2 linked regions of the Oryzias latipes genome follow. The protein of the gene in region 2 interacts with the protein of the main gene of each other region in a biochemical or structural test. Links are inferred from orthologs where the notes say so. Each region holds a gene or a part of one and is shown on either strand. Other genes may lie near its edges.

Region 1 (3,751 bases), on a different chromosome or scaffold from region 2:
TATTCTTTAAACAGGTTAATTTTCTGAATTGTATTATAGTGTTTCCTTTAAAACCGTAATTAATATTTTTGTAAATATCCAGTCACAATGGTGAAGGACTATATAAGGCCAACAATATTCCTCCGCTTGTTGTAAATGGCTAGCTGCTCATTCACACCGAATGACGATGAAAACAGAAAACAGTTTTAATTTGATCCCTTTCTGTTTTATCTGCAGTTTGATGCAAATTGAAATATTTCTACATTTTGAAATAAAACCGAACATTTGTTGCTTAAAACAACTGTACTATAAAATATTAGCTCTTACCCTGTTACAAACACAGGTGACCTGAAGCGGAAGTTGTTCCTTCTATGAATGCTTCATTTCCGGGTTGAGGTCACAAAAATAATGCGTTTTAATTTATTTGTATTTCACTAATAATGTTAATTATTATCTTATATTTCATATAAGACAATACTAAGAAATAGTTTTATCGTTCAAAATTAACTACACAATAACATTTTCGCGCCACTTGTTTCCGTGGTAACCGCCTGAGAGACGGAAGTGTAAAATGGCAGAGCTGCAAAGCTGGACCGAAGTTTTGAAGTCATCGAGAAAAACGGCGCTCATACAGGGTGGTAAGTTAAAAAAGATACAATACTCTTTAAATAAATAAAAACATTTTAAAATGTATTAACCTGACGTAATTACCTTTCCTAAAGTTGGACTTCACTTCATAGCTAATCATGTTGCTAGGCAACAAGCTAGCTGTCCCTACAGTTCCATCTACGTTAATACCAGAATCTCGAAAAGACAGACTCGAGCAGATGCGTTCGTATTTACAAAATACTAACAGTAACAGTACTTTAGATATTCTATGTGACGCTCCACGTTACTTAAGAAACTCCGAATCTATGAAAATAGCAACAACAAGCTAGAAAATAATATCATGAGAAAAACAAGTCACAGCAGCTCAAGTGTCAGTGAATCCTGAGCCTCATACCACTCAACCTGACCATGAAGATGCTCCTGTTTGCTAATAATGCTTTTTGTTCACAAGAACATTAAAGCTCTTTCAGACGGCGATTTAAATGAGACATCAAAAAACATCTTTCGACCCAAGTTAGTATTGTTTAGTTTGATTATAAACCCAAACTGCATTTTTTATTAACAGACCGAAAGCAAATCTACGATTAGTAATTAAATGGGAGGAGTTTGAAAGGGCAGTATTTGGACAACAGATGCGCTGATTGGATGGGGACCCAAATCTAAAGTATTTGTACCAAACAATGAAAGTGCATTTTAATTCTGAACCCACACAAGTTCTGATCAGATATCCGTCTGTGCCATAGACCATTCCACTGTTTTCACAGGCTTTTATTGTTGCAAAGGTCTAGGGCAAATACTAAACACGTTTCTTCAAAATTCCTTTATGTTACATACAGCTGGCATGAATCAGAAATTCATGTGTCCTTTTTTACTGCACTTATACAGATAAACTATGTATTTTAATTATATACACTGTGTGTGTTTTGCCTTCTAATATTTTTATTTTAGGGTGGTAATGATGAAGATTCTTACCTTGCATTTATCTGCTAATTCAACCTAAAAGTAGAAGAGTTTCTTTTTTTTTTATTGGCAAATGCCTCTCCCCACTTATTGTTTAGAGCAGTGTTTTTCAACCTTTTTTGAGACACGGCACACTTTAACCTTGAAAAAGATCCCGCGGCACACCAGCATCCAAAAAAATAGATAAAAAAAAAAAATAAAAAAATAAGCTCATAGTCTGTATTGATCTACAGCCGCTCTGCAATCTCACATGCATTTTTGTGATAATTGTTGCATAAAAAGCTGGAAGCTGCAGCTGTTTTTTTCTAAAAGATGTATTAAAAATTTAGTCAAAAGATTCAAAAACTGTTTGATGTGTGTTCGTTGTTTTAAGACGTTAAGAGGAGAGACTCATTGTGCGCTAAGACAGTCACTATACTGCATCATGGGAGATGTAGTGCCGATAATGCGCCGACCGCAGAAAGACCAGCGTCTTTGAGCTTCATTGTTTTGTTCACTTGTTCCACAGTCTGATACCAGATTCTGTGGAAAGCTACACCGCTAAAGACGAGCTTTAGCTGGTATTTTTCTTAGAACAGAGAGACTTTTTTGCGCTAAATCGAAACAAGGAAGCGAAGACTTTAACCACTTCTGATTGGTCATACTGATGACATGTGATTAAGCCTTCAAGAATGATTGGTGGAGACAGTTAAAGGGGCGGGACTTTTCCTTACACAGTTATAGCTGCAGCTAACGGTATCCCGTTATTCTTATCAAAATGTCTTTAAAAGAATCATATAAACACAAAGAAAAAATAATTTTATGATATTTCATATTTTTAACTTCTATGTGTTTTACCAGGGCCTGTTTGGATGAACAAAGAGCTGATTTCCTGGAGATGTTAAATGTTTTTAGATCAGTTAATGAGGGCAATTTCTCACGGCACACTTGACCATCTCCCACAAAAACACTGGTTTAGAGCAAATGCTTAAACAAGTTTCAGCTTCAAGTGATGAATAAAATTTTGTTGTGACTGCATGTAAATATTTAGGCCCCAATGGTTTTCATCGGTGTTCAAAAACAAACAAAAATCAAATGTAAATCAGTTTTTCGTGGTGGTCAGTTAAACAGCGGGGGGGGGGGGGCCGCAGTTGTAGTGGGTTTCTACCCGGACATCTCCGTCCCTGCTCGACACTTTCTGATTATTTTTGTTGAAAGAGATAAATAAACATAACATAACCTCACAGCTTGAGATTTTTATTTAGTATTTCTCGTGAACACTTTTGATTCTACCTGCAGGTAAGCGGAAGATCCACTATCTCTTCTCTGATGGGAAAGAGATGGCAGAAGAATACGACTTGAAGACAGACGAACTTATTAGTGAGGATCAAATGTAGCTTTTCTGCAGCATGAAGGTACTGGCGCCGGCGGTAGAGTCAGGATGAGTCTTCTGAATGTGTTTCAGTGCGGAAATGGCGCCATAAAAGCCCACTGGGAGCTCAAAGCCCCTGGCAGGTGGAGGTTGGGGAGCCGCTGGTCAACACCCCGGGATCTCAGGACTCGGACATAATCAGAGAGAGCTGCTCCAATGTGGGTTTTTTTTTTTTTCTGCTTTTATGTTGACCTGACCTCAGCTTAGTAATGATTGGGTTTGCAGAGCTCAGCAGCGTTTTCTCTGGTTTCCACAGCCTGTTTTCAGTGGAGAATCCGGAACCTCGCCTACCAGAAAGATGTCTTCAGTGTTTTTGTGGAGCCGTCTGAAAGATGTGTCGTCATCTTCTTCCTCTTTCGGCTTCTCCCATCAGGGGTCGCCACAGCGAACAAGTCGCATGGTAAACTTGGCAATGTTTTACGCCGGATGCCCTTCCTGACGCAACCTTCTCAAACCGGGCTTGGAACCGGCACAGGGGTAGAGAAGGGAACAGGGAGCAGCCCGGAGTCGAACCCTGGTTTCACGGACGGAAGGCGCCGCAAACCAGCACGAGCTAAACCGGCTCCCATGTGTCGTCATAAAGACCTCAAACAAAAAGTACCTTCCTGCGCTGCACACTTGTTGCATGCAATGTTCAGACTCTCCCTATAGATGGCGCTGTAGACAAACCATCCGCGTTGCTGCCGGCGCACCGTGCGTTTGTAATCCTGCATGTGTCTTTGCAGGTATTTTAAAAAGTTCTGTATTCCTGATCTTGATCGATGTTGTCTGCCTCTGGAGAGCGCCGCCCTC
Region 2 (3,751 bases):
TTCTCAAATTTTTTTAGTTACCGGTAATACAAATTAGTAAATTTAAAACCTGAAATTGAGTTTTTGTAAAGTTTCATTGTGAAATTATTGGGATATAATTAAAAATATTCTGCTAAAAAAAAAGAGAGACAGAGAGAAGCCGCGGTTGTACTAAAAAACAAATGTCAAGCATTACCACAAAAACTATTTTAAAGATAAATTATTAGAGAAAAATGGAAAGTAGGAAAAAAAGCTGAAAGGGCACCATCCTAGAAAGGCAAACAAAAAATTTGAAAAGGTTTTTTCAAGTCAATATTTCTGAGCTGCGTTTAAAATATTGTTTTTTTTTTTTCAGTAGACAGAAAAAGTTATAATTTGCATAAGAGAATTTGTCATCCTTTCTAAACTCTACACATAAAAACAATTACTCTTAATTAACGCGTTTGCAGATATTTAACAGGAAAAGAGTAAAACATGTAGCAATCAGAAGAAAATCTCACTCCGAGCAACTCTCTTCCATCTTCGTCTAGAAGCGGAACCACTTTGGATAAATCCTGACGAGCCCATTTGGGGAAGGAGGGCTTGTAGTCGGGCATGGATGTGACTCCGGGCCACGCCGTTTCGTCAGGTGTGCCCAGCGTGCGAAAGATCCTGAATAACTGATCGATCTCAGAGTCTCCGGGAAACAAAGCCCTCCTGGTGATCTGTGAACACAGACCATCAGTTTATTATCAGCGTGCTCCTAATTCTTTATTGAAGTTGGTCTTGGGGTCGAGCGCGTTACCATTTCAGCGAAGATGCACCCCAAACTCCAGACATCGACAGCTGTGGAGTAGTATTTGCAGCCGAGGAGGATTTCTGGGGCTCTGTACCAAAGTGTTACCACCTGAAAGATACCACAAAGAATCAAGAACGACTCTAATGTTTTATTATGTGAACCTGATACAAGACAAGAAAAGGTCTGAATCAGATTTTGAAAGAGCAAAGCTAAGAAAATACATATTTTGGGATTTTATCCTTTAAAATAAACATTTTCTCACTATCCAGCACTAAAAATCCCTGAACCACATTAGAAAAACAAAATCAGCTGTTATCAGATCGATTCGTACCTTGTTACAGATGAAGAAAGGGAGGAGCACACTGTACCTCATGAGTGTAGGTGCGGACCGGCACTCCAAAAGCTCTCGCCAGACCGAAGTCTGCCAGTTTGATCTCACCCTGGGCGTTGATGAGGAGGTTTTGGGGCTTCAGGTCCCGATGAAGAACTCTGTGAGAGTGGCAGAAAGCCAGGCCTTGCAGCAACTGGAAGAGATAACTCTAGAAACACAAGACAGTAAGAACAAGGAATCAGGTCTGGACAGTTTCAGGATCTTCTCTTTAAAGAGGACGCTCACCTTCACCAAAGCCAGCGGGATGCCAGTCACAGAGGAAGAGTCCATGAATTTTTTGAGGTCCTGATGGAGGAACTCAAAAACCAGATAGAGTTTGTTTTCTGTGTGAATCACATCCTGCAACCTGGACAAAAAAAAAAAGTTGGTTTAAAACATAAAATCACACAAAATGGGATTCTTTTGAACAAAATAAACATATTTCTGCATGGTTAAACACTTACTTGACAATATTTGGATGACTGAGTTCTTTAAGAAGTGAAATTTCTCGAATCGCTGTGCTTGGTACGCCCTCTGTTTCTCTGGATTAAAGAAATCACAAATTTAAGGATCAGCGGAGATTGTTTTATGAAGTTAAATGCTTCCTTTGTCCCATTGATAAATTGAATACAATTTTCCTAGTTATTGCACAATAATTCATTTTGATTAAGAATCATTTTAAATTAAAGCAATTTGTTGTGTTTATGATGCTTTTCCAAAACTTTATGGACAAATGCACATGAATTTGTAATCATCACTTTTGATCAATTTATTGACTAATTGTGTTTAGTGTTCCATTACCCCCAAAGGCAAATAGAGATGAATAAAACAGATGGTGAATAGATTTTAAATGTAACTGAGTAGGTTTAATTTGACAGTGAAACCAACCAAACAAGAGCTGAATGCTTTTATTTTGTAACATGTCAGTTTTGTTTCAACTTTGTATTATTATTTACTTTTATTTTTTAGGTCTTTGTACATAGAGTGAATTTAAAATGTTTTGTCTTTTCTGTAATTAATGAAACTGTTTCATGAGGGGACTGGAATTAAGCATTTGAGATAATCTGAATCACAACAAACGCTTCTCAGAGGTTTCAACCAGCAGGAAGAAGAACTTTTCACTTACGTATCCAGTCGGATTTTCTTCAGCGCAACCGTTTCTCCGGTCAGTTTGTTTTTAGCTTTGTAAACCACTCCATACGTCCCTTCTCCGATCTTTTCCACTTTCTGAAACGTATCCATTTCCCACCAGAATCGGACCGGACCTCTTTCTTTGTTTCGGAGCTAACGTCTTCTCGGAGGCTACAAGCATTAAGCAGCGCGGGGACCGACCTACAATTACCCGCTTCTCCGGGTTTCGTCATGCGGTCCAGGCTACAACCAAACCAAGGGGTCCCGTTCGAGGACAAACTCTCTCCGGTCAGAGAGCGGCACACAAAAACGGACAGGTGAACATCTGTCAGGTAGTAACACTAACCCCTAAATTGAGGATTAGCCCGGTGGTTGCTCCGCGGTGGAAAACAACACAACGGCGTTTCCCGCGTTGTGTTGCGGGCGTTCGTTTTTGTGCTCGAGACACACCGTACCGTTCAGAGCAGAAGCAATTTATTATTTTCCCTTTTCTTGAATTTAGCAGTAATTAAAGTCAGTCCTGATATATGGCACTGGTGAAGGTAGACCGCTATGTTTATTGTATTTAATCCAATGATTTTATTGCGAACTGGTGTAATTGGAGAAATGAGTTCCTCGTCTTCCGGCGTATAACGGAATAATAAACAAGCCGCACTCTTTGGTCACATGGTCTACGGCGTAAAGGAACCAGAAAGCTACGTAAAAGCGGTTAAATATGAAGGGAAAAAAGTTTAACGCCCACAAATAATGTGTATTTTTGGAACATTTTTTTTTATCAATGTATACATTTTCATAAATGCATTTATATTCCAATTTAACCATCAGTTAAAAAACAAAAATCAAAGACGGAGATTATTTTTTTTTAATTTTAATAACTTTATTGACAAACATTGCACATACAGAATTTCACACCAAGTGCAAATTATTGAAGTTGCCATGAGGTTGAATAACAAAAAAATAATAATAATAATAATAATAAAATGAAATAAATAATAATAAAATAAACAAAATAAAAAAAATAAACACATAATTCAATAAATGAATCAACAAAAGTAATAATACATAAAAGTTTTTTAAAAAAAGCATAAACAGTCAAAATAAAAATAAAAAGACTTCAAAGTTTCAATTGAGACAAAACCTTTTTAAGTGTTTTATTAGTTTCTTTGTTAGTGCAGCATTTCCTTGTCAAACACATTCACACTGTTTTTTGTTAGTGAGATAAAACTGAAATCCCAAAAGATTATAACCACTCCTGACAACTTTTTGGCAAAAAAGTAGTACACTTGTACACCTAAAGTTTACTTCTTAAGTATACCTAAGTATAATTACAGCAAATGTACGCCTACTATACTCCATGTACATGCAGTACAGGAAGTATACTAACAGAATACTTCTCAGAATAAATTATTACATTTTATGTCTTCAATATATAGTGTATAAAAAGTAAACTTAAAGTATAGACTCCAATGGACTATCTTTGCCACAGGATAAGA

Evidence for each region.
Region 1: of the proteins of cdk2 (region 2) and poll, one has a biochemical effect on the other in vitro, tested with the Homo sapiens proteins (2 studies listed by BioGRID). The link is inferred for Oryzias latipes from reciprocal best matches to the Homo sapiens genes CDK2 and POLL.

The regions. Positions count from the first base shown.
Region 1 is NC_019859.2:29,444,365-29,448,115, reverse strand, and holds the start of poll (DNA polymerase lambda), read right to left. Parts: upstream 2,787-3,751; 5' UTR 2,768-2,786; intron 618-2,767; coding exon of another isoform or gene 551-617; exon of another isoform or gene 533-550; intron 387-532; exon of another isoform or gene 307-386; intron 1-306. Other genes in the region: protein DPCD, read left to right, coding at 551-617, 2,827-2,907, 2,993-3,121, 3,195-3,295, 3,513-3,556, 3,685-3,751.
Region 2 is NC_019863.2:27,093,904-27,097,654, forward strand, and holds the start of cdk2 (cyclin-dependent kinase 2), read right to left. Parts: upstream 2,689-3,751; 5' UTR 2,370-2,688; coding exon 2,254-2,369; intron 1,670-2,253; coding exon 1,592-1,669; intron 1,495-1,591; coding exon 1,374-1,494; intron 1,297-1,373; coding exon 1,126-1,296; intron 866-1,125; coding exon 764-865; intron 684-763; coding exon 480-683; intron 1-479. UniProt on the Homo sapiens protein: Serine/threonine-protein kinase involved in the control of the cell cycle; essential for meiosis, but dispensable for mitosis. Phosphorylates CABLES1, CTNNB1, CDK2AP2, ERCC6, NBN, USP37, p53/TP53, NPM1, CDK7, RB1, BRCA2, MYC, NPAT, EZH2.